Mus musculus: one gene and its partners. The protein of the gene in region 1 interacts with the protein of each later gene in a pairwise test. Links are inferred from orthologs where the notes say so. Each region holds a gene or a part of one and is shown in the gene's direction. Other genes may lie near its edges. The genes, in order: Efemp2, Creb5, Ubqln1, Il16, Ammecr1 and Nufip2.

The links.
Region 2: the proteins of Efemp2 (region 1) and Creb5 interact in binary tests that used the Homo sapiens proteins (3 or more experiments, as listed by UniProt). The two-hybrid records come from large-scale screens. The link is inferred for Mus musculus from reciprocal best matches to the Homo sapiens genes EFEMP2 and CREB5.
Region 3: the proteins of Efemp2 (region 1) and Ubqln1 interact in binary tests that used the Homo sapiens proteins (3 or more experiments, as listed by UniProt). The link is inferred for Mus musculus from reciprocal best matches to the Homo sapiens genes EFEMP2 and UBQLN1.
Region 4: the proteins of Efemp2 (region 1) and Il16 interact in binary tests that used the Homo sapiens proteins (3 or more experiments, as listed by UniProt). The two-hybrid records come from large-scale screens. The link is inferred for Mus musculus from reciprocal best matches to the Homo sapiens genes EFEMP2 and IL16.
Region 5: the proteins of Efemp2 (region 1) and Ammecr1 interact in binary tests that used the Homo sapiens proteins (3 or more experiments, as listed by UniProt). The two-hybrid records come from large-scale screens. The link is inferred for Mus musculus from reciprocal best matches to the Homo sapiens genes EFEMP2 and AMMECR1.
Region 6: the proteins of Efemp2 (region 1) and Nufip2 interact in binary tests that used the Homo sapiens proteins (3 or more experiments, as listed by UniProt). The two-hybrid records come from large-scale screens. The link is inferred for Mus musculus from reciprocal best matches to the Homo sapiens genes EFEMP2 and NUFIP2.

Annotation. Positions count from the first base shown.
Region 1 is NC_000085.6:5,477,690-5,480,021, forward strand, and holds part of Efemp2 (EGF-containing fibulin-like extracellular matrix protein 2 isoform 1 precursor), read left to right. Parts: intron 1-237; coding exon 238-354; intron 355-511; coding exon 512-631; intron 632-2,112; exon of another isoform or gene 2,113-2,129; intron 2,130-2,332. UniProt on the Homo sapiens protein: Plays a crucial role in elastic fiber formation in tissue, and in the formation of ultrastructural connections between elastic laminae and smooth muscle cells in the aorta, therefore participates in terminal differentiation and maturation of smooth muscle cell (SMC) and in the mechanical properties and wall integrity maintenance of the aorta.
Region 2 is NC_000072.6:53,286,104-53,290,102, forward strand, and holds the start of Creb5 (cyclic AMP-responsive element-binding protein 5), read left to right. Parts: upstream 1-1,199; 5' UTR 1,200-1,270; intron 1,271-1,271; exon of another isoform or gene 1,272-3,379; intron 3,380-3,385; exon of another isoform or gene 3,386-3,999. UniProt on the Homo sapiens protein: Binds to the cAMP response element and activates transcription.
Region 3 is NC_000079.6:58,212,854-58,216,997, reverse strand, and holds the start of Ubqln1 (ubiquilin-1), read left to right. Parts: upstream 1-1,344; 5' UTR 1,345-1,561; coding exon 1,562-1,714; intron 1,715-4,144. UniProt on the Homo sapiens protein: Plays an important role in the regulation of different protein degradation mechanisms and pathways including ubiquitin-proteasome system (UPS), autophagy and endoplasmic reticulum-associated protein degradation (ERAD) pathway.
Region 4 is NC_000073.6:83,729,599-83,733,763, reverse strand, and holds the start of Il16 (pro-interleukin-16), read left to right. Parts: upstream 1-1,365; 5' UTR 1,366-1,495; coding exon 1,496-1,700; intron 1,701-4,165. UniProt on the Homo sapiens protein: Interleukin-16 stimulates a migratory response in CD4+ lymphocytes, monocytes, and eosinophils. Primes CD4+ T-cells for IL-2 and IL-15 responsiveness. Also induces T-lymphocyte expression of interleukin 2 receptor. Ligand for CD4.
Region 5 is NC_000086.7:142,855,227-142,858,726, reverse strand, and holds part of Ammecr1 (AMME syndrome candidate gene 1 protein homolog), read left to right. Parts: intron 1-1,154; coding exon 1,155-1,251; intron 1,252-3,079; coding exon 3,080-3,194; 3' UTR 3,195-3,500.
Region 6 is NC_000077.6:77,684,729-77,688,938, forward strand, and holds the start of Nufip2 (nuclear fragile X mental retardation-interacting protein 2), read left to right. Parts: upstream 1-1,410; 5' UTR 1,411-1,499; coding exon 1,500-1,779; intron 1,780-1,827; exon of another isoform or gene 1,828-3,083; intron 3,084-3,558; exon of another isoform or gene 3,559-3,603; intron 3,604-4,210. UniProt on the Homo sapiens protein: Binds RNA.

The DNA of each region.
Region 1 (2,332 bases):
TTCTGAGTGGCTCTGCTAGGTTCTTGTTCTGTGACCTTGGTCTGGCTCCTGGTCTGATGCCTTACCTCACCCCAGTCCTCTGCTACTAGTGCACTCCTGTCACTAGACACGGAAGATTAAATGTGGGTGACTCAGCCCAGCTCGCTGACGAGGGCGGGCAGGGGTGGTTGCCGAGGTGAGCCAACTCAGGCCCCACCTGGCCTGTGTTCTACTTTCCCTCCCCCACCTCCATCTCAGACATAGATGAGTGTCGTTACCGCTATTGCCAGCATCGATGTGTGAACCTGCCGGGCTCTTTTCGATGCCAGTGTGAGCCAGGCTTCCAGTTGGGACCTAACAACCGCTCTTGTGTGGGTGAGGCTGTGCCAGACAAGGTTCTGGGATCCTGGGTGGAGATGTGTGACGTGGGGGCAGGATCTTCTTCTTGAGCCCAAGTTGAGTGTGTGTGTGTGTTTGGGGGGGTCTGGGCGTGACACTGCTCTCACCCTCCTGTTTGTCCTCGCACCCTCAGATGTGAATGAGTGTGACATGGGAGCCCCATGTGAGCAGCGCTGCTTCAACTCCTATGGGACCTTCCTGTGTCGCTGTAACCAGGGCTATGAGCTGCACCGGGATGGCTTCTCCTGCAGCGGTGAGAGTCACTTGTGCTACTGGATACAGCATCCCCCCCCCCCCCGCCTCCCCCCCCTCTGCCGCCTCCCTTAGCACTTGCAACATATTGGAGCAACTCCAGGCGCATGGTCATTTGCTTGGGGCTTCCGCACGTCTCCTTGCACTCACAGGCCTCCCTAAGCTCCGTCTTGAGCTTGTCGTTTGGCACTCCCAGCTTGAGGGGATGCTATGCTAGGGGCTTCTGAAGCTTGCCAGAGAGACAGAGAAGATGGAGGTGCCAGTCTTCCTGAAAGTTGAGTTGACTTGCATTGGAATCCTACACTGGGGAAAGTTTTCTCTTCTTTCTGGGCACATGTCTACTGCAGACAGGTTATTTGAGTATTAGGGGCAGTGATAACAGGCTTCATCAAGTCTCAGGCAGAAATAGTGGGAAGCACCATTTGTTTATCACTTAAAATTTTCAGTCTCATTTAGTCTGGCCAGGGATGATTGACTTTTGTAAAACAGGACATTAATATTCCTCCAGGTTGGCAGAACTGTGGAAAGCAAGCAGAGAGGTCAGAGAAAGTACTGACTTTCATCTTTCCACTTACTGAGATTGACATGACTGTCCAAGTTCAGAGGGGAAAGATGAGCCGGGCTGGGGTGTGAGCCCAGGCGTCTCACTGTGTTACCTGGCATGCCCTCATTTACTTTATGCTTTACCGGGAAGCACAGGATCATTGGTGTTCGGCTGTGTGAAAGGAACAAAAGCAAAGAGATAGGATGCTGCTCGGGGTAGGGTGGGGGGCACACACTTAGCCCAAGTCTGGGCATTCTGACCGCATATTGCAAGACTTGAAAAGAACAGAGCGGCTATCCCCTTGGGGCACCTGCTCATTTGACTGGCACAATGTGGACCCTTTCTAAAATGGGTTAGTAGGACTTAGGCCCAAGCCTCTAGATTCTTGCTGCTTTTTAAGACAGAGTCTATGTAACCCCGGCTGTTATAAAGCTCTCTGTGTAGACCAGGCTAGTCTACAGAGATCTGTTGGGTAGTGCTAGAATCAAAGGCACAGGCCACTATGTTAGGCGAATGCTTTGTTAAGTCTTAAAGTCCTGGGGAAGAGAGGTGCTCCGCATGCTGGAAGATTCCTTGTTGTAAGACAGGGTCTCACTGTGTAGCCCTGGCTGGCCTGCAGTCTCTTATGTAGTAGACCAGGCTGCCTCAAACCGATCTGCCTGCTTCTGCCTCTGCCTCCCAGATGTTGGGATCAAACACCCCACTGTTTGTTTTTCAAGGCATGGTCTTGTTATGTAGCCCTGGCTGGCCTTGATCTTGATATAATCCTGGCTTGGCTTCCTATGTGGACCAGGCTGGCCTTTAACTTGGTATAATCCACCTGCCTCTACCTCCCAAATGCTGGGATTATAGACATATAGCACCATGCCAAGCTTCAAACCTTTCTATTCTTTTTCTTTTCTTTTTCCTCTCCCTTTCCTTGCTGGGATGGAACCTAGAGCTTCAAGCGTGTTAGGCAAGTACTCTACCACTGAGTTATCCCCAGCCCCCAACCTTCCTCTGAAACCTGAGCCCCCCTTGAGCACTGTGGGTCTCCTTCTTTCCTTCTCTCTTCCCACATCCATCCTTATGGGGGTGCTGGGCTCCCTCTCTCTTGGTCAAGGTCTGTGGGACTCAGTTGTGAGGCCTCCCCTTGGCCCAGGGTCCTCATCCCCGCCC
Region 2 (3,999 bases), on another chromosome or scaffold:
GAGATCTGGGGTTAGACATGCGCTAGAGTGGTCCCTGATGATCAGGAGAGCTCCTAGCCTTCTGAGTCTGTCTGCCTCAGCTCAGCTGTGAAATAGAGATAATTACAACACACTCCCCGCTTTTCCTTATTCTGTCAAAGTCATATGAGGAAGAAGAAAATGGTGTGGCTTCAAGTGTTTGGCAAAGTGTGAGCTGTTGTTGGATGACAGTGGTCATTTCGAACAGGCTTTCAATGCTCCCCAAAGGGAGAGAGAGCTTCCAAAAGGAAATCTAGCCCTTGCCAGGGATGAGGAAGGTGAGAGCGGTGGCTTCTGGCCCATGCTGAAAAAGGTCAGTCCTCTTTTCCCTTTGCAGACCTGGCCCTAGATCCTGTATTCTAGCCCTGGCTCGACTGCTTCCCAGCCGGCGAGCTTGGGCCAGTAGCAGAGGCTCTGGAAGCAATGGCCAGGGCCCTTCCGGCGCTGACGCGGAGTCTAAATCCGGCTCATCATTTGGCTCTTGGCTGAGATTCGCCTTTCGCCTTTAGAGAGATTCTCTCACAGGTCAGCACATGCAAGGTGCGAGACCAGGGAAGGCTGTGTGTAGTCCTACTGAGTGTGCACAAGAAGTTATATGCCCTTGAGCGTGATGAGGAGAGGGGCGGCGAAATGGAGATACTAAGAAGCCAGCATGCAGAGAACGCTGCAATGAGGTCATGGCTGTCACAGGCAAAGGATCTGGGTATCTTCGGTGGCTGGGGTAGGGAAGTAGGAAGTGGCCTGCATTTGTAAGTGTAAATGTCTCTTTCTACCTCCTTCAGCATCCTTACCACCTCATGCACACACCCCAAACCTTACTTCTTTCTGACCCTACAGACACTTCTTGCAGAAGAGCTCGTGCCGGTGTCTCCTGCGTGGCTCTGTTTGAAACCTTCAGGATTGTTTCCAAGCTGACTCACACCACTAATGTCGGGGGGCCGTGTTACTCGGCGCTGGGCTGTGCAAGCTGTTGCTTGCGCGATCGCGGACGCCGCCGCAAGCACCCGGGTCCGCTCGAGGGGCGGGATTTGGGCGGGGCGGAGACCGGGCCCGCCCCCTCGGCGTGCGGGCCCCGCCCCTCTCTCCCTCCTTTTCCCCAACGGACCGCAATGATTTAGAAGTTCAGGAATCCCACGTGACGTCACCGGGGGGGTGATGTAATGCACTCTAAATAGAATGTATTGTAATCTTTGCTCAGTCCAACGTGGTCCCTTCACCCGGGCTCGGCTCTTGCCTTCTCCACACTTGTTTGGTAAGTTCCTAAAAATACGGCGCGGCCACTTCTGGGCCTTTTGCATTTAGCCACTTTCGCTGCACTTGCCGCGCGAGCCGACTCCGGAGCGTCCTTGTTTGCAGGGGTTGGTTCATCGCTGCAGCCGCGAGGTTACTTAGTCCAATGGGCAGGTCACAGGGCAAGGAGTAGAAAGGATGCGATGCATTTTTTCCCCCTTGATTTGTGTTTGTAAACACTTTGGCGGATCAGAAGGAAGTCCGGCCCCAATTGCTGGTGGACTGTGGAGTTGTGCTGTGTCCTGTAGTCACCCAGAGACCCCACGCCGTGTCCGTCCCGGAGCGCTTCTTGGTGATTGCTGCGCCGTGCGACTGGAGGGATGCTGAGTGGAGCCAGCGCCGTGTCCGACCCAGTGTGCGTGCGTGTATGGGAGCGCGCGTGAGTTTCCCTGACACGGGGAACAGTTATGAATCGGGGGTGTATGTTTGCCTCCAGAGCCCCGGCATGGTGTGGAACCCTTCTGAAGTGTGGTCAAGCGGCGGTGGTGGTGGCGGCGGCGGAGGCGGCAGTGGTAGCAGCAGCAGCAACAGACCAGGAACCTGGAGCCTCCTCGCATCCCGTTTCTCAGTGATGCAGCGGAACCCCGGGAGAAAGTTAGCAAACTTCCAACCGTTGCGGCAAAGTCGCCTGGTCACCTAGGGGCAGCCGAGCGAGTTCGCAGGGGGTTCTCCCTCTCCCGGGTGCCCAGCGGCCGCTGCCAGTTCTCGCGACCGGCCGCCGGCTGCAGCGGGAGGGTCGGTTGCCTTGGAGGGGGACTTGACTTTCGCTCCAGGCGCTCCAGCTCGAGAGTGCTCCGCAGCCCTCGCCTTCACTCCTGCAGCCGCCTCCCGCCTCCGTCCCCTTTGCGCTGGCACTCTTACTTCTTCCGGGCTGCTGCCCCAAATGACAGCTGGGGCCCGAGCCGCACTGCACCCAGGCGGTTCTCAGGACCGGGCGACAGAGTCTGCCTTTGAGCCAGATTCTTTATCGAACCGCTTAAACTTTTCACAAAGTTCTTAAAGGGTTGAGACAAGCAGACACCGCCCCCACTAAGCCACTTTAGAGGGACTATAGCCCGCTTTAATTTTTCATTTATTTTCTAGTCATAGATTTATTTCCAGGGAGTGTCTAGTAGAAAAAGCTCCAGCTTTCCCTGGACGAGTGCCGCCCCCACTTGATGCTGGTTCAACGCTGGGAACTAGAGTGGGCTACTTGTACATCGTTGTCAGTATCAGCAACGCTTGCTTGGTTTTTTATTTTTCCCTCTTCCTGACATGTGTCAAAGAATAAAGGCTGGCTACAGGTCCATTACGTCATTCTGCAGGCCAGTAAGTGTTTTATTAAGGGCTTCAGATATTCAAGGGTTTGGGGGCTCAGAATGCTGTCAAAGCAACTATGCCCCCATCCCCCGGGGCAATTGCGGGTTCTCTGGACACAGCTATTGCCCTCTCTTTCCCTACCCCTCTTCCTCCATCCCTCTCCCGCCCACCTCGTTATCACTCGGCCTGCCCCCGCCTTTTACAGTTTCCCCCAGGGGGAATGCTGTCCCAGGAGTGAGCTGAAGAGCTTCTGGTGCCTGAGCGAGCTCAGTACCTGATGAACGCTCAATCTGCCCTTTTCTATTATTTAAGAAAGGCACTATCCAGGCCCGTTTTTCCCACGCGAGAATGTTCAGCCTGGATAGAAAAATCCCTGGAAAGGTTTAGAAGCCTTATATGCTAATAGCTTGTGCCTGCAGTGACTTAGGAAAGCAATAAGCCACAGCTAAGAGCCCAGAGCCCCGTGAACCGAGCCTAGGAGAAGGATGAAGGACCTGACTAAATCAGGTTTAGCGGGAAAGGATCTAGATTTGACATTTTATTTCCAAAGTCAAGGAAGTGTCTGAGAGCTGAAAGTACCATACAACACTTTGCTGCTGCTGCGCGCGGTACTTTCTTATCCTTATCCTTGAGTTTCTATGTTTGTAGAGGAAGTTAAACGCCCAATTTAGAGAACTGAGTTCTTCCCCACTTGCTCTTTAAAAGAACACCAGCAGCAAAAACACCACCACGTGTGACTTGTTTCGGGGACAAAGAGTGAAAACTTTTGGGCGTGAGTGAATAATGATAGCAGAAATCCAGTAAAAACAGACAGAGGCAGAAGCTTTGGGCTGGGGGACAAGGTGTTTGAAGGCGTTTTGATTTGGAGATGGAGGAAGCTAAGTAGAGGAAATTTTATGTTCTAAATAGGTGGCATTCTTGAAGAACACGTGTTTGGTTATAATTAGATCTACTTTCTCCAACATACTCTGGCCATAGAGCAGGCTTTGTGGAGCTCGTGGCTGGAGATCGCTTGACACCCCTTCTTCAAGTTTGTGGCAGCATTATTTATTGGCATCTAGCGATGAAGTGGCATAAGTCTCCTATGGGAAGCATGGGCATTGAAAATGTTAAAATTCTTGTTTGTGATGCAGAGACCTAAAGGGGAAAATGGGCAGGTCACGGGCCCTGGACAGTGTGATTAATGATCACTGATTTAGTGATCAGTGATTAGTGGTTTTATTCAAACTGTTACCTCTGACCAGAAGCACACATCAGAGGATTAACAGGCTCTTTAGATAAATGCTCATTAGTGGAAGGGGAACAGCAAAGATAATAGGCATGCACCCAGGGACAACTTTCGAAGAAAATCATTCCCGTCTTCAGAATAATAAGCTCTGTTAACAGAAAGCC
Region 3 (4,144 bases), on another chromosome or scaffold:
CTTTCAGGGGAATGTGATGTGAAAACAGAAAGTTAGAGGGGGAAGGTGTGTGTGTGGGGTGGTTCATCATGGAAGGCAGCCTGGGTTAGTGCTTAGGGAGAATACAGCATGGAGGGAAACCATACAACAGGGGAACTAATAAAGTTGGAAAGATATATATATATGAAAATTCCAAAATCCTTGCTTGCCTAATGGGGGGAACTTTCTACCCCAAGTAACAATTTTCTCACACCTAGACATAACGCTTATAACTTCTTCCTGTGATTGAACAATGCTGGCAGAAATGTAAGTGATATCAAGTGACGCCGTATTGCCATTTTATACTTTGAAACTCTGACCCAGATTTCAAAGAGCTCTGCTAAGAAGTGTTTATGCAACCACAGTTAATCATAGAACAGGGTTCGATGGCCCAAGAGCAGAACTATGGAATGCCTTTGCATATTTGGGTCACGGTACACTGTCAAGAGTTCACATTTGTGCAATGCTGGTTAATATAAAGTGCTGGACTGTATTACACGTTATCTTTACGAATAAATGACGTGGGATCCATATGTGAAATAACTTATGTGTGCCTACATTATGCCGAAAATACTTTTTCAGCCATTATCTCTGATGCCACCTCAAGCCCGAGGTGTACAGTAACTTAATTGGACAGAATACAAAAGGCACACATCATCTAGGCTAACTCCTACCCGCTGGGCGGACAGTCCTAGGCATTCTGTTTCTGCCCCCACGCAGCTTGGAAGACAGACAATATGGGTTGCCCTATCTGACCAAACCGGTTTGACTCCAGGGAGGGAAGCTCAGGCCTCACTGAAACAGTGAGCACCTGTGGATGCATTGGTTGCTCACTGGCGTCTGTTTCGCGGTCCTTTAAAGACCTTTCTCCATGGGTTTAGCTTTCAAGCCCCGAGCACAAGACAAGGCAATCGCAACTCCTTCCACCCGGGCACCAACACTACGCTTATTAAAATAAAGTAGCTCGCCGCTATTTCATAAGCAGACGCCCACGGGGACCAGGTGGGGAGGATACCGGGACCGTGAGCAATGGGCCAGACGTTTCTAGCAATTTCGCTGGCCGTGACGTCATCTTAGCGCACCATCACGGTGCCTGGCAGAAACCCCGTTTGCATTTCTTTCAACGAAGAACGGGAGACGCGAAGTGGGTTAAGTTCTCCCGCCATGCCCAGCACTCCATCGACCTTGAGGAGCCCGCGCTTCGTCCGCCGGCTAGAAAAGGATCGAGCGCTGCCATGCATGAGTCGGCTCCTTGGCCAACGCGCTACCCGGCGTGCCTCGCGCGGCCGGCCGCCAGGAGTCGGCGCGGCTACCAGCGCGTTACCCAGAGTGCCCTGCGCGGCGCCGGCGACGAGCGTGGGGGAGGTGCGGGAGGAGGAAGCGGCGGCGACGCGGAGAGTCCCCGCGTCCACACGGCAGCCGATCGCCCACCCGGGGCCTGCACCCGCAGCCCGCGTCCACGCACCCTCGGCGGCCCCGCAGCCTGTCACGCCTCGCGGACCCGGCCGCAGCCCGCAGTGTCGCGCTCGCCTGAGTCACCGCCATGGCCGAGAGCGCAGAGAGCGGCGGCCCACCGGGCGCGCAGGACAGTGCGGCCGACGGCGGCCCCGCAGAGCCCAAGATCATGAAGGTCACGGTGAAGACGCCTAAAGAGAAGGAGGAGTTTGCCGTGCCCGAGAACAGCTCGGTCCAGCAGGTGAGGGCGCCGGCCGGGCAGCCGCCGCGTCGCTGACGGGGCGGGAAGGGCGGCCTGGCCGGGCGGCGGCCCCGGGCAGCTCCGGTCGGACCCCGCTGGGTTCCGCTGCGTGAGCTGTGCGGGGCCGGGCCGGGCGAGCCGCGCGGCCTGGGCTGGGCTGCGCCGCGGCCGCCGAGCTCCGGGCCCCGGGCCCCCACTTCTCACAAAGGGCCGGGCGCTGCGGGGCGGCTGGGCGCGGGCGGCGCTCGTCCTTTGGCCAGGCTGGGTGGGGGGTCATTGTTTCACCTGCCTGCTAATTGGGGAGATTTAGGAGTGAGAAGCACGTGGAGGGTTGGTTCTCGGTTTTGAATGCTGAACTCCTTCCCATCTTCGAGCCTCCTATATAAAAATTATGACGTGGAACTTGTTTTCAGTCGCATTGTGATAGCTCACGCCTGAAAGGAGAAAAGTAAATGACTTTGATTCATTGGCGACTTGCTGTTTCTGTTACAATACTTCCGTCATCGCTTAGCTGCCAGTCATCGGATAGGTTATTGTTTGATCTTTAGGGAGACGAGACAGACACCTAGCTGGGTCTTAGCAGTTGGTTGCAAGGAACCTGCAAGAAAGCACAGTAGGTGATAAGGGGAATTCTTATCAAGTAATTGCTTTAAAGTCTATTCAGGCAAACAAGCCTTGCAGTTAATTAAGAGCCTTGGGAGAACCAATCATGTATGTTTCAACACAGTCTAGGGCACTTGAATTGTTGACAGTATCAAACATTGTAAACAGTCTTATGCGAGGAAGCAAAGTATCAACCACTGGAATGTACTTTTAAGTTCTCTCAAGGTTTATCTAGTTCCAAAGGTGAGGTCGGGTTTTTCTGAAGCAGGAGGGTGTGTGGCACCATTGAGAGAAACTCTTGTTGATTGGATCATTACCATTGTTTGTTAACGCTGCTATAAAAAATTTTACCTTCTTTATATTCCCAGCAGGTCTGTATGTCACCCACAATTGACATTTTCCAGCCTTTTCTGCATCATGCATCTCTTATTTCTAAAAATACACTTTAAAGTTGTAAATATCAGTATTACCCTTATAAGGTCGGCAAGCAGCATGGGTGTTAGTGGCTTGAGAACAACTTTTTTTGAAAAATGGTATTCCACTTATGTTTGAGGTGCGATGATGGGACATGGTTGCCTTTGCTGGTTTTTGCAGACCCGTCTACACCTGTGTCAGCCAAGCACGTGACAGCTGAAGTCTGTTACAGTTGACGGCACACTTTTCGTCTTCCGTTTTCTCTTCAGTCGAGCTTTTGTCACCTCTGAAGATTTTTATTTTCCCAACAGAGTTTGAGTTTGCATAAACAGAGTCCTCTCTAATGTGGTCTTTTGGATAAGGCTTTTTTTCTTCTTTCTCTCACTCAGCATATTTTTTTGAGATTCATCCTTGAGAAGGTCTGTACCCCTCCCACCACAGAGATCTGCATACTAGGCACAGCCTCCAGTCTACCACTGAACCAAGTCCTCAGCTCAGTACTTAACTGCTCAGTGCCTTTCCATGAATGTGCCATAATCTGCCAGGGTTTTTTCAGCTGGTTGTAGTTCTTGAGAACAGCAGCCTCATATAAATCCTTTAGAGACCATATGCTTTTTATCTGTATTAGAAGAGCTCTGGTTACACTTTAGATCTTTGGGGTTTTTTGTTTGTTTGTTTTTGGTTTTGTTTAAAAGACAGGTTTCCACTCTGTAACTCCGGCTGTCCTGGAACTCTCAGTGTGTAGACCAGGCTGGTTTCAAACTCATCTGCCTCCCAAGTGCTGGTATTGAAGGTATTCACCACCATGGCCTGCCAGTTCTGTTTAGTTTTATAAGAAACCTGAAAAGTGTACTATTTTGCAGTTCAGTCAACATCATATGGGTGTGTGCTCCTGTCCCTCTGTCTCCTTGTTAATATTTGGTATGAGCAGGGTTTCTTGTTTTTGTTGTTTTCATTTTTTTGAGACAGGGTTTCTCTGTATAGCCCTGGCTGTCCTGGAACTCACTTTGTAGACCAGGTTGGCCTCGAACTTAGAAATCCGCCTGCCTCTACCTCCCGAGTGCTGAGATTAAAGGCGTGTGCCACCACGCCCGGCCGTTTTTGGTTTTTTTAATTGTAACTATTTAGTGAATGTGTGGACATATTAAATTAGGAAGCTCTTGAGTCTTCCTGAGAGTCCCAGTTTAGTTTTCCATCTTCCTGGCAGCTTCCACATTTTATTTTTGGACATTAGAAATAATGCTTTATAAATAGAAAAATTATTTAGGTGGGCATCTATAGGTTTGTGGGTTCTTTGTTTTTGTAATAGTGACACTAGAATTATGAATTCTGTGGAAGCTTATTATGTTTTACTATGCTGTAACTAAAAATGACTTTAATGGATAAAAGTAAGGCTTTCCTAAGGTAACTTAT
Region 4 (4,165 bases), on another chromosome or scaffold:
TGGATTGAACCTCTGAACCTGTAAGCCAGTCCCAATTAAATGTTGTCCTTATAAGAGTTGCCTTGGTCATGGTGTCTGTTCACAGCAGTGAAACCCTAACTAAGACACTCATATACAAAGAACTAAAGCAGATTTATTTTAGGAGAAAGCCAAAAGCTGAGGTCCTGTCCTCTTGCCAACTCTCTCCATCCATGTCTTCTGGATCCCACCATGAGAGACCCAAGAACTTGAAAAGGTCGAGGAGCCCTTTGAATTGAATTTGATAAGAACACAGTGAGGTCATATTTCTGAGGGGCATCTTAAACTTTAATAGGCTATGGCATTGCTGTTCACTCTTCCACATCCCTAGGCTCTACAGCCACCAATAGATTTGTCTAAATCAAATTCAGAAGGGTCATGCTACCTACCTGTGACCCCTTCCAAGTCTCTGCTCATGGGTAGGTCCTTGGTGAGATGCTTCAAAGAGTTGCTTCAGCCATAACTCAAGTCTCTGCTGGAAAAGTTCCTACACTAGAAAGGTATCTGTCTGTGTCTGTGGTCCCCAGTAGGCTGTGAAGAACCGTGCTTTATCCCATATGGTCCAGGTGCCTGAATCACAGTGCATGATAGAAACTGATTATTGTGCGGGTTGGGGCACACCAACAGTAATTTTAGGGATCAGGAAGATGCCTCTTCAAGCACAAGAACCTGATTTCAGATCCTCAGTACTCACGTAAAAGTAGGTTCCATTTTTTATGTCTATACGCTTAGTACTGGGCAGCAGAGACAGAGAGATCCTGGGGCTGCCTGGCCAGCCAACCTAAGTGAAACAGCAAGATTCAGGTTTAGTGAGAGATCATGTCTTAAAACAATAAGGTGGCTAGCCACAGAAGAAAGACAGCTAGTGTTGACCTCTTACCTCCATAAGTGTGTGCACAGGAAAGTACACTCACACACACACACACACACACACACACACACACACATTTTATCAGGAGAAGGAATTGTTTGTGTCTGCAATGCCTATTGAGACTGGCAATATATTTCCATATGTGAGATATTCTTCATCTTAAACACAGCTCTTTGTCAGCAGCCGCACAGCGCCATACGTGGGGAACAAAAACCCAAGGCAGTGAAAATAAACAAATGGCTGCAAGAGTCCCATGTTTCTGTTTGGGAGGCGCTTCGAATCAGCAAGGGACTCCAAGTTCTTTCGGATCTCTGTTGAAATGAGGACCCATCTATGTCAGTCTTGTAATTAGACAAGGTTGCCTGGTGTCTGCCAGAAACATGAAGAGGTCCCTGCCCAAAAGAGCACGGAGCAGATGGGGTTGCTGAGCGCAGCTTGTGCGTGAGCATGCCGCCTGGGGAAAGGAAGGCAGAGAACCAGGAGCTGTGGTGCCTGCGACACTCGTCCCTGGGGGAGAGAATTAGATGCCACAGAAGCAGCTCCTAGACTACTAGCTCCCTGCACTGTGACCCAGATGTCAGGATCCATGCAGAATAGGGATTCTTCATGGGTCTTGCACTGTGGGGGCAGAAGTGCATCTGTAATGGACAGGTGCAGCAGCTAGGATGTGGCTGCCCTGCTCTGCCAGCTGGAGGAGGTCACCACCAATATGCTCTTTGGCACATCTACAGGCGCACCCCGCTGCTGGGATGTCAGGCAACATCACCCCGTCCCCTCTGCTCATGGCATCTCGTACCTGGCCGGGCTAACTGTAAGTAACTCTGAGCCCTTTCCTCACACTTCCCTCAGCATAGGAAAAAGACCAGCAGGGAACTTAGCCCCCAAAAGTGACAGAAAAATGTCGGTCACAACCAGAGTCAGCTAGCTACTCAAGGGCACATGGAGAGAGACTCAGGAAATCTGGGGAAATGAGAACTCCAAGCCATATACCACAGGACCCGGCTGGAAGCATCAAAGGAAGCTTCAGGCTCCTGGCTTCCAACATGACTCTCAAGTAGACTGGAAATCAATACAGTTAATGAGAAATTCTCTTTTACATATAAAATGAATAGGATTCACAAATGTATAAGATTCTTCACAAAATCAATCTTCTTGCTTGTATATGTGTATAGAATGTGTATATATGTGTGTGTTCCCGTGTGAGGACACACATGTGAGTGGGTGTCTGTGTATGTGTGTGCTTGTGCACGTGAAGGTCAAAAGTTGGTGTGGGGCACCTTCCTCAATTGGTCGCTGAGGCAGGCTCTTCCTCCGATCATCTGTTTGACTAGTGTAGTTAGCTGGTTTGCCCTGGGGAATGCCTTGGCTCAGCTTCCCAAGTGCCGAGGTTATAGGCAGGCTACCACACCCACTGTGCATTCCTGTGGGTGCTAAGGTTTGAAACTCTCTATGCTCCTTATTCTTAAAAGGCGAGTGCTTTACCCCTGTGGCTTCTCTCTCCCAGTCATATATTCTAGGAACTTTCTAGTGGTTTTATTTATAACATAATAATGGTATTAATGTGATGCTGTCTTGCTTTAGTTATATATGTTTATTTATGAATTCATAAACATTTACTTATCTGTGTATCTTATGTGTGGTTAATGATGTGTACCATGATATAAAATGTAAGCTCAAACTTTGAATCAGATTATAAAAGCCCAAAAAGCAGTATTCTAGGGCCTCAGTGGGGCAGAGAAGAGCGTAGGTGTGGCCCTGTAGCCTGGAGTATGCCTGACTTCTCTTTGGACACAGTGGCTATCTCCCTGCTGTCCAAGGTAAGGACTCCTGGCTCAGTCAGCCATGAGCACTCCTCTCTTTTTCTTACCTTATGCTCTCCTAACTGGATGAATATATCCTCAAGCCACAGTAAGGGTCAGAGGTAGTTGGCTGGTCCAGTCTCACATGTCTGTCCATCTCCTTTTGTTCCTCATCCCTCAAGGGTGGCTTTTGCTACTCCCAGCCAAACCACACAAGTCCAGGAATGGTCATAGCAGTTGCTGAAGGAGGCAGGGGACTGTCATATTTACTGCACAGGTGATAGCTGGGCAATATTTTTCCAACACTGAAAAGTGTCAAAAGGAGATAATGAAGTATGTGTGTATGACATGGGAGGGGACATAGGCGCTGTCAGCCTCTCTCTGAACATGGGGATAGCTCAAGAAATACTTATAATACTTACTCATCTCATATGCCATCTTACAAAGTCGGCCTCAACGTATGCCAACAAATAGTGTCCAAGACACATTCCTATGGCTACAAAACAATTAAGCTGGGATTTTCTAATTTAAAAAAAATCAAGAAACTAAAAGATGTAAAATTGAAAATTAGTTGACAATAACCATGATACTCTTGTAAAGAACAGAGTTTAACTGGATATCAAAGCTTCAATTAATGACCTTCTGAGTCAATAAGAAGGCTTTGACTGTGTCTCAGCAACTGCTTAGGTTTTATGTGTCTCTCTACATAATAAATATGTACAAAATAAAACATGTACAAAATAAAAAAAACCAAATGAACTAACTAGTTATATAACAATAGATTGTGGACAAAGAAGGCTTTGGAGGAGACTTAACTTTAAGTAATAGTGACAAAGATGGCCAGCATAGTGACAATAACCAACTAACACAGGGCTGAGAACAAACTTCCATCCTTCCATTTGTTATCATAAACTTTATGAGTAGTAGCCTCTGTTATCATCCCATTTGACAGGTAACAAAACCAAGACACATAAGGCTTCAGTAGGTTTTGAAGGTCAGACTTTGGCTTCTTGAGCTCCTCCACAAAGCATGTTGCCACTCCATGACACACAGCTATATTTCAGAAATTGGAATACTTACTATGTCTTCTAGTCAGCTTAGTTCCAACATTTTTTACTTCAATAAATGTTCTAAGCACTGAAAAATGTTTTAAATAATAATTTTTCAATTTGTTTAGACTTTTCTTTGTAATATATTTTGATTCCACTCACTCCCCATATCCCCCAGTTCCTCCCAGATCCATCCCTACCTTCTTACCCACTTACTTTTGAGTCTTTTTAAAAAAGCTTATCAAGTTCCATTTGTGTTGCCCAAGTCTCTTGAGTATGAGGCCATACCTTGGAGTGTAGTTGACCTACCAGTGGTCAGATTCTTAAAGTAAACTGGCTTTCTTCTCCCAGCAGCCATCAATAGCTTCTCAAGTGGGAGTGGGAGTTCCTGCCCACATTCCCCATCCATGCTGGGATTTTTGTGTGGT
Region 5 (3,500 bases), on another chromosome or scaffold:
GGTTAATTACTCACATGGAATCTGCACCTTTCACTGATGTCTGACAGCATCCTCATAAGTGCAAACTTTTAAAATGGCACACATTTGTAGAAGTTAGGGGTTTATTTTAGGCAGCTGTTTGTTACTGCTTTGTAACACAGTTTTCCAGGCACCAGTGTGCAGTAATTTTGATGGCGTTAAGAGGCCTTAGGTTTAGAAACTACATCAAATGTAGTTTGATGTCATTCATTGTCAGTATCTAACAATTCTTATGTGACTGCCATAACTCATTCAGCTAATAGTGAAACTATAAGCTTTCCATTAAGATTGGGGGTGTTGTGAAAACATGAAGTTTTTTATGTTTACTCTACACTTCGTAATCAAAAATAATTTTATTTCACAGATATGCCACACATCTTTATGAACCAATATGGTGACACCAAACAACTTCACTATAGTAGTTTGTCCTTCCTAGCCACTACTGAATTCTAAGTTTACATTAGTTTAAATGCTTTTTAAAAATTCTATCGCACTTATCTTTTCAGAAGGCACTTAAATGTGCTTTTCTCATGTATGCTCATATAAATATGAGAGATATAACAATAGATTTTAATGTTAAACCTCAAATAAAAATGTTAATCTTTAAGGCAGTTATGTGAAGATTTATTTGGATTGCTTTAGAAAATGTGTTAATACTGCAGGATTACCAACTCCATAAAGATATTAGAATAGCATTCATATTAGAAACAATGGTATTCATTGAATATTTCACACAAATGTAGATTATCAAGCATAGAAGATACCATTAAGACCAGCAATCACCATGAAATAGGGATTGGAGCCCCAACTAGTAAGTTGACACAAGTCATGTTTTATTTATTTAGGCTTTCCCTTCTTTTTGAAGGTAGGACCATTAGAGAAGAGTACCTGGTTGTGATTTGTGACAGAGACATGACTGAGTAGTTTCTTAGACAATTTAAGGCATGTTGTGATGGACCTGATTCTATACAAGGATAAAATGTTAGCTCTTCTATCTGACTGGTTTTTAGGACCAAAGGAATTGATGGCATTTGGTGACAGGGATAGCTGACCTCTACCAAGTCATTTCTGTATTTAACCAAAGGTGCTTTTGTGACACTGCTTAACTGATATTTTATCTGGCTTCTTCTGCACAGGATGGGACCATATTCAGACCATAGACTCATTACTGAGAAAAGGAGGATACAAAGCTCCAATTACTAATGAATTCAGAAAAACCATAAAGCTGACCAGGTACTGGGATGGCTGGGATGGCAGTTTGTAACTAACCAGTGGACTTTGAAGGATATGCCTATACCTGATTTTCTTTTTTAAGACTCTCGAACTATCCTTGCTTCTCTTGTCTAAAATAGTGGAAACAAATGGCAGAGTGTCCTGAGAGTGGCTACACCGGAAGTCTGCTGTGCAGTAAAGCCTGCATGATACCCGAAGTCATCCTCTCCATCTCTAGCTCCATACGATGACTTGGGCTTTGTACAGCAAGCCCTGTGAGACTTGAAACTACCTTGCTGGAGAAAGTACTAGAATTAGCTATTCACAAGCTTTTGACGTCGCCTAGCAGAACCCCAGGATTCCAATAAGCAGTCCGAAAATTTAAATTTAACCTTAGAATTTTGGCAGTGATAGGAGTCTACTATGAAAGCTTATTGAAAAACAAAATTGAGCTGAATGTGAATGCTAAATAAATGTCAACATGGAATAATAGGGATTCTTACTTAAGGAAAGTATTGAACATTTTAGAAGAATGGGGTACTGTTTCCATTTATTTCAGTTCCAGAAAATTGTATTACATGCCTGTAGTTTCAAAAAATGGATTGTTCTCAGCTCTGCACAGTTACAAATTTGAGAATGTCCCCATTTCTGTTCTTCTCAAGCTTATAGTTGAAGGAGAATGGAAGGGCATGAATAAAAAGAATCACTACTACAAGGCAGACTATTACAGATGTGTAGGATCATAGTGCTAGGGACGGGGAACTCCAGGAAGTCAGTGGGTAACAGACAACTTCAAAGTGGAGGTGGACTTAGGGCTGGCTTTAAAGAACGAGTAGACTATTTGGCAGGTAGAGAGCAAGGGAGGAAAGGGATTCCTGAAGATGTGCTGTGAATCAAAGCACGTAAGTGGTGCAGTACAAAGCCAGTTCTAAGAAATATAAAGCACTATGATTTGGCAGGTCTTTCAGCGCACGTAGGAAATGTCACTAAAGGGAAATATAGTCTAGAAGGTTCATGATAGAGCTGATAGCCTGGAATAATCTGTGAGCAGGTCAAAGTCAAAGCTGTGGGGATCCCAGTGCATGGAGGAGGGCAGAGTGTAAAGTTTAAACTGCGAATGGTGGAACCAAGGAAAATCCTGCAAGGTAGGAATAGAAGCAGCTGTCAAAGAGATGAGAAGCAGGGACAGCATCAGGGAAAGGTGGAGGTGTAAAATCCATGAGCCTACAGAACAAGTGGATTGTGGGAGTATCATGGAAAGTTCCAAAGAGAATCCTAAGGAGCCTCTGACAGCCATGAAAGGACAGTGGCAGAACCAAGGGACACTGAGCACCTGCTAGGAAAAGAAAGAACCTGAGGGGAGAAACTGTGCTTACTCTCCTGAAAAGTTGGGTAGTGGACAAGTAACTAGATAGAGACAAAGTGAGAGGGCTTCAGTACTGACGTGTAGCATAGAGCAGACCCAAGATGTGTGAACAAAGGAAGAGTAAAGGGGGAAGTGATGGAAGGTCTCTGCTATAAAAGGAGCCCAATGAATGAGATGTGTCTATGATGGCGATAGAGACATGATGGTAAAAGATAGCCTCTTCCTTGTTCCTTCCTGATAGCAAAGTGGGTAAAAGGGACAATGTCATTCCTGGAGTAGAAGGGCAGAAAGAGCACTAAGATCAGTGTTCTGATCTCAGCTTTGCTGCTTACCAAGTCTGTGACTTTGGGCTACTAATTGCTTCTCTCATGGCTTCTTGTTTCCCACTATATAAAATGATCTCATAGAGTCCCTCTGGCTCTGATAATAGCATACCATGTGTTTCTCAATGTTAACTTTTCTCTTCCCCGCCTTCCCCTTCAGGTACCGTAGTGAAAAGATGACCTTGAGTTATGCTGAATACCTTGCTCATCGCCAGCATCATCATTTCCAAAATGGCATCGGGCATCCCCTTCCGCCATACAACCATTATTCCTGACACTGAGCCGCACAACCAGTCACTGGGCCTCTCTGCAGACCTCTTCCCAGGAGACCCTACACCTTCTTGGTCTAGCTATCTCTTTTACTGTACCATTTTATGATGATAGTTTCCGTTGCCATGGTGAAGCTTCGACATTGTTAGTTAAGAGCATCATGGTAACGGGTAGGACAATGGCATTTGTTAAGAAGATCCTGTTTTATTATTTTAGATCACTGAATTTTTTTTTCAGCACATACAGCTTTTGAAGTTTTCTTTCCTTACAATATTAGGTATCTTTTTTTGCTTTGCTATCTCAGACAGGTT
Region 6 (4,210 bases), on another chromosome or scaffold:
GTAAACTTTACATTTAAATTTTCCCTTGGGGGGAGGGCAGTGATGGTGGGGCATGCCTTTAATCCCAGCACTTGGAAGGCAGAGGCCAGCCTGGTCTACAGGAGTGAGTTCCAGGACAGCCAGGGCTGTACCAAAAAAAAAAAAAATCCCTTATAATACATAGACAAATGTATATCTAATTTAATGAATTTTAAAGCAATTATTCATGTAATAGCAATAGCACATTGGCTGGGGTATGCTGGTGTGTGTAGGACTTTAATCCCAGCATTCATGAGGCAGAAACAGGGGGAATCTCTTAGTTGGCCAGACACTTCTACTTAGGTAGTTCCAAGCCAATCAGGTTTACATAGTCTGTTTCAAAAACAAACCAGTCCAAAACAAACAAAACTCCTAGCCAAGTCCCCCAAATATATATTTCGAGGGTACCCCGTGTCTGTGCTTATCACAACCTTCTTCCTATCATAACAGGTTAAATTAACAGCATAAATTGCAAATACACCTTTACATTTCAATGTTTTCCTTAAATTTAATACAAAAATGTTTTAAAAACCCAAACCTTAAGAACTTTTAAAGGGTTCCTTTCTCCTTTATTTCACTTTTGAAAGTCTTAGTCTAAAATCTATTTTGGTTCCATAGTTGACCTCACCTGCAGTGTTTGATTAAAAAAACAACAAAAACACCCAAAAAACTTCAGTGTAGATTTTTTTCATTCCTCCCTCTCTCTTGCTTTCAACTACAAAGAAACAATGATTTAAGCCCTTTGTCCCCTTTTAGAAAATTACACAGATACCCTATTGTGGAACCCTATAATCCCTCCGTGGAAAGGAAGAGATTAGCATATGAATACAAAGCAAAATGAATCCAGAATACGAAAACGATCTATCGAGTTGTGAAGCTCTTGTATTCTTAAAAATGTATTTATTTCCTCTTTTTTGAATTGCCCCCTTCGTGGTTTAAGGGTTAAGGAAATTGAGCTTTCCTCTCTGGCTACCCGGAAAAGAATTAAACACACACACACACACACACACACACACACACTCACAACCCAACACATTCTAGGAGGTGCAAAACCAACAGATGGCTCCTAGCGCCAGTAGAATCGTCAGTGGAATCTGCTACACTCGACATCAGCTTGCTCGGTGTGAGGAGTGTAGAAAGTGCTGTTCGCTAACTGCGTGGTGAAGGAGAGAAAGCGATAGAAGAGAGAGCCATAATGCTGACGTTGAAGGCCCGGCCCTGTGAGGTTGCATAGGGTAAGTGGCGTTGGCCAGGCGGCGGTGGCGAAGGGGAAGGGAAGAGGATTTGAGCTAGGGGCGGGGCTTGACGCGCAGCGTGGCTCCTCATTGCTGGAGCACGGCTGCCAATCTCGCAGATCCTCTCGCTTAACCAGTGCGCTGGCGAGACGCGCTCAGATATACCGAGCGAGCGCGGAGAAGCAGTCTCAGATCCTGACGGTGCAGCAGCCCGCAGCCTCAGCCAGGGAGTCCCAGCCGCTTTCAATGGAGGAGAAGCCCGGCCAGCCACAGCCTCAGCACCATCACAGCCACCACCATCCGCACCATCATCCCCAGCAGCAGCAGCAGCAGCAGTCGCACCACCACCACCATTATTATTTCTACAACCACAGCCACAACCACCACCACCACCACCATCACCAGCAGCCTCACCAATACCTGCAGCATGGAGCCGAGGGCAGCCCCAAGGCCCAGCCCAAGCCGCTGAAACATGAGCAGAAACACACCCTCCAGCAGCACCAGGAAACGCCGAAGAAGAAAACAGGTCTGAGAGGGAGGGCGGTGGGGGAAGGGGGACTGGATTGGAGGGGGGGGAAGCGATGGGGGTGGGGCTAGATGGGAAAAGCGCGGACCCGGTCCGGGTGTGCGTCCCGCCGGGCCGGGGATGCCCCCTTCCATTCTTCCCGGGCGCGGGCCGGGCCGCGAGGTGGGGATTGCAGCGCCCTCTCCTTCCCTTTAGCATGGGAGAGGCCCAGCCAGGCCGGCGTGACCTTCCTCGGTCCCCGCCCCGGCCGGCCGGAGGCAGAGCTGTGCCCTCGGCCTTGGAAGTCCAGCCTTCATCTTCTTTTTCCCCTCTAGTGCGGGCCCTGGAGTTGCCTGAATGTGGGGGCCCCTAAGAAGGGGGTGAAACTCAGCCGCCCTAAAAAAATAAAATAAAAAATTCCCCCGAGGTGTATGTAATTCAGGCCTAGTGAATCCATCCTGATGCGGGTGGTGTCGCGAGAGCCGCTTGCAGGCGGCGACGAGCGGGGCTGAGGGCTAAGTTGAGGAAGCGTCCTCGCTCACCCGCCGCCCCGAGCCCACCTGTGGCCTTGGGGTTTGCCGTCTGGGTGTGTGGGGGACCCTATCGTCCCTCGGGTCATTTCCACCCCTAAACGCCCGTCTTGCGCGTCCGGACCCCGTTGTCTGTCCGCGAGGGCTTCTCCGCAGGCCGGCGCCCCTGGCCCGCTCGCCTCGGAGCCGGCGAGGCTGGAATGTTCTCTCCTCCTCGCGGGGCCGCTTCCTGTCCGCCATGTTGGAAGCTGATTCCTGTCACCGACTCCGGCCGGCGGAGGAGCGGAGGGGGAAGGGTGCCGAAGGCCACACGGCACGCCGGCCCGGCTGCCCCGGGACCCTCTGCGGCCCTTTTCCGGGTCCCCCCCGCACTGCGGGCGGCCGCCGCCCGCCGCCCCTCCCCCTCCGCGCCGCGCCGCGCCGGGGTTGTGTAACCCGGTGGCGGCCGCGCGGCCCCGGGCGGGTCCCTGGGGTGAGGGGCGGGGGCGGTTGGGGTGGGGGAGGGAAGCGGCCACGAGGGGAGCGGCCTGCACCGTGGCCCCGCGCGCCCGACGGCCGCGTTTCCCGCTCCCGGGTGCGGCGGGAGGCGCGGGCGGGGAGCGGGCCTTGAAGAGGAGCTTGAAGGGGGAAGGAGGCCCGGGCGGCGGCCGTGGCCGTAGCGTTCCGCTGGCCTGCGAGGGGCGAGGGGGATTCGTTTTGGGGAGAGGCGGTGCCTGAGGCCGGGTGGGGTACCCAGCGGGAACCAAGCTCCCGGGTCACGAGTTTCTCTGCCACAGGAATCTCATCTCCTGCCAGGTTCGCTCACGACTCCGCCTCGGAGGCTTTTTCACTTAGGCCTTTTTTCTTTATAGCAGCGCATTTCCTACCCAAAAAAAAAAAAAAAAAATGGGGGGGGGTTGGGGAACAACCTCTCAAACTTTGTTCCATTCGTTTTCCACCGAACACCTAAACTTCTGAGCTGGGTAGTGACTTTGTGGGAGGGATTAATCCGATGCTCTAATGGGTGGGACAACACGGGCAGTTTTGGCTTTCCTGTTTCTTTAACTATGAACTGGAAGTGACTTGTCCATGTGGTTGTCACCAGCCCTTTACCTTGGACAAGACCTTTTTGGTGGTTAAGAGGCGTTTTGGTGCATTTTAAAACCGACTTCCATCCCCTAACTGAGTATTATTTAACATTAAATGTGGAGCCTTGAGCTACTTAAAATAAGCATCAAAGTTTATATATTCACACGTTTTGTTTTGTTTTGTTTTGTTTTTAACTGAAAAGGGAATGAAGAAAGAAGTGTTAAACTTAGTCTTTCAAGTAATACAAGTAAGTTACTGGTGAAAAACTTACTGTAGACAATATAACTTTGAAGGCAGAGCTGAGTGGATATCAGATTTTCTTTTGTAGGGTAGTAGGGACTGATGATAGAGCAGAAGTGTTTAATTGTAAGGATTTACAGCAGCCTAGAAACTTAGGAATTATGTAACTGTATTAGTTTTGCTTTTCATGAGGTGAGAAAGTATCAAGGTTGCCCAGTGGTATTGTTCACAGATTCAGAATTTGTCTTTTATGAGGTTTATGTATTCCCCACAGGGCTCCTCACTGCATAGAAAGGCAGACCCTGAACCATTCATTGAAGGTGGCCCTCCTCACAATGTGTCTTAACCTGGGATGAAGAATGAGGAGGGAACTGGGTTTAGGAAATTTAGAGGTTATTAACAGTTGGGCTCAGCGGCTTTCCCGTATGTGGTTTGGTCGTTGGGTACTGTGCTAAAAAATCTAGAAAATGCTAGGGAAATACTTAACAAGTTTTTATGAACCATTACTTCCAAAGCTATGAGAAACTGGTTTTCTGGATCCAGAAGAGGGCACAGGAGACAAAACATGTTGAGTAATTGCAGTGTCAAATCTAAAAGCTAGATTTATTTGGGAC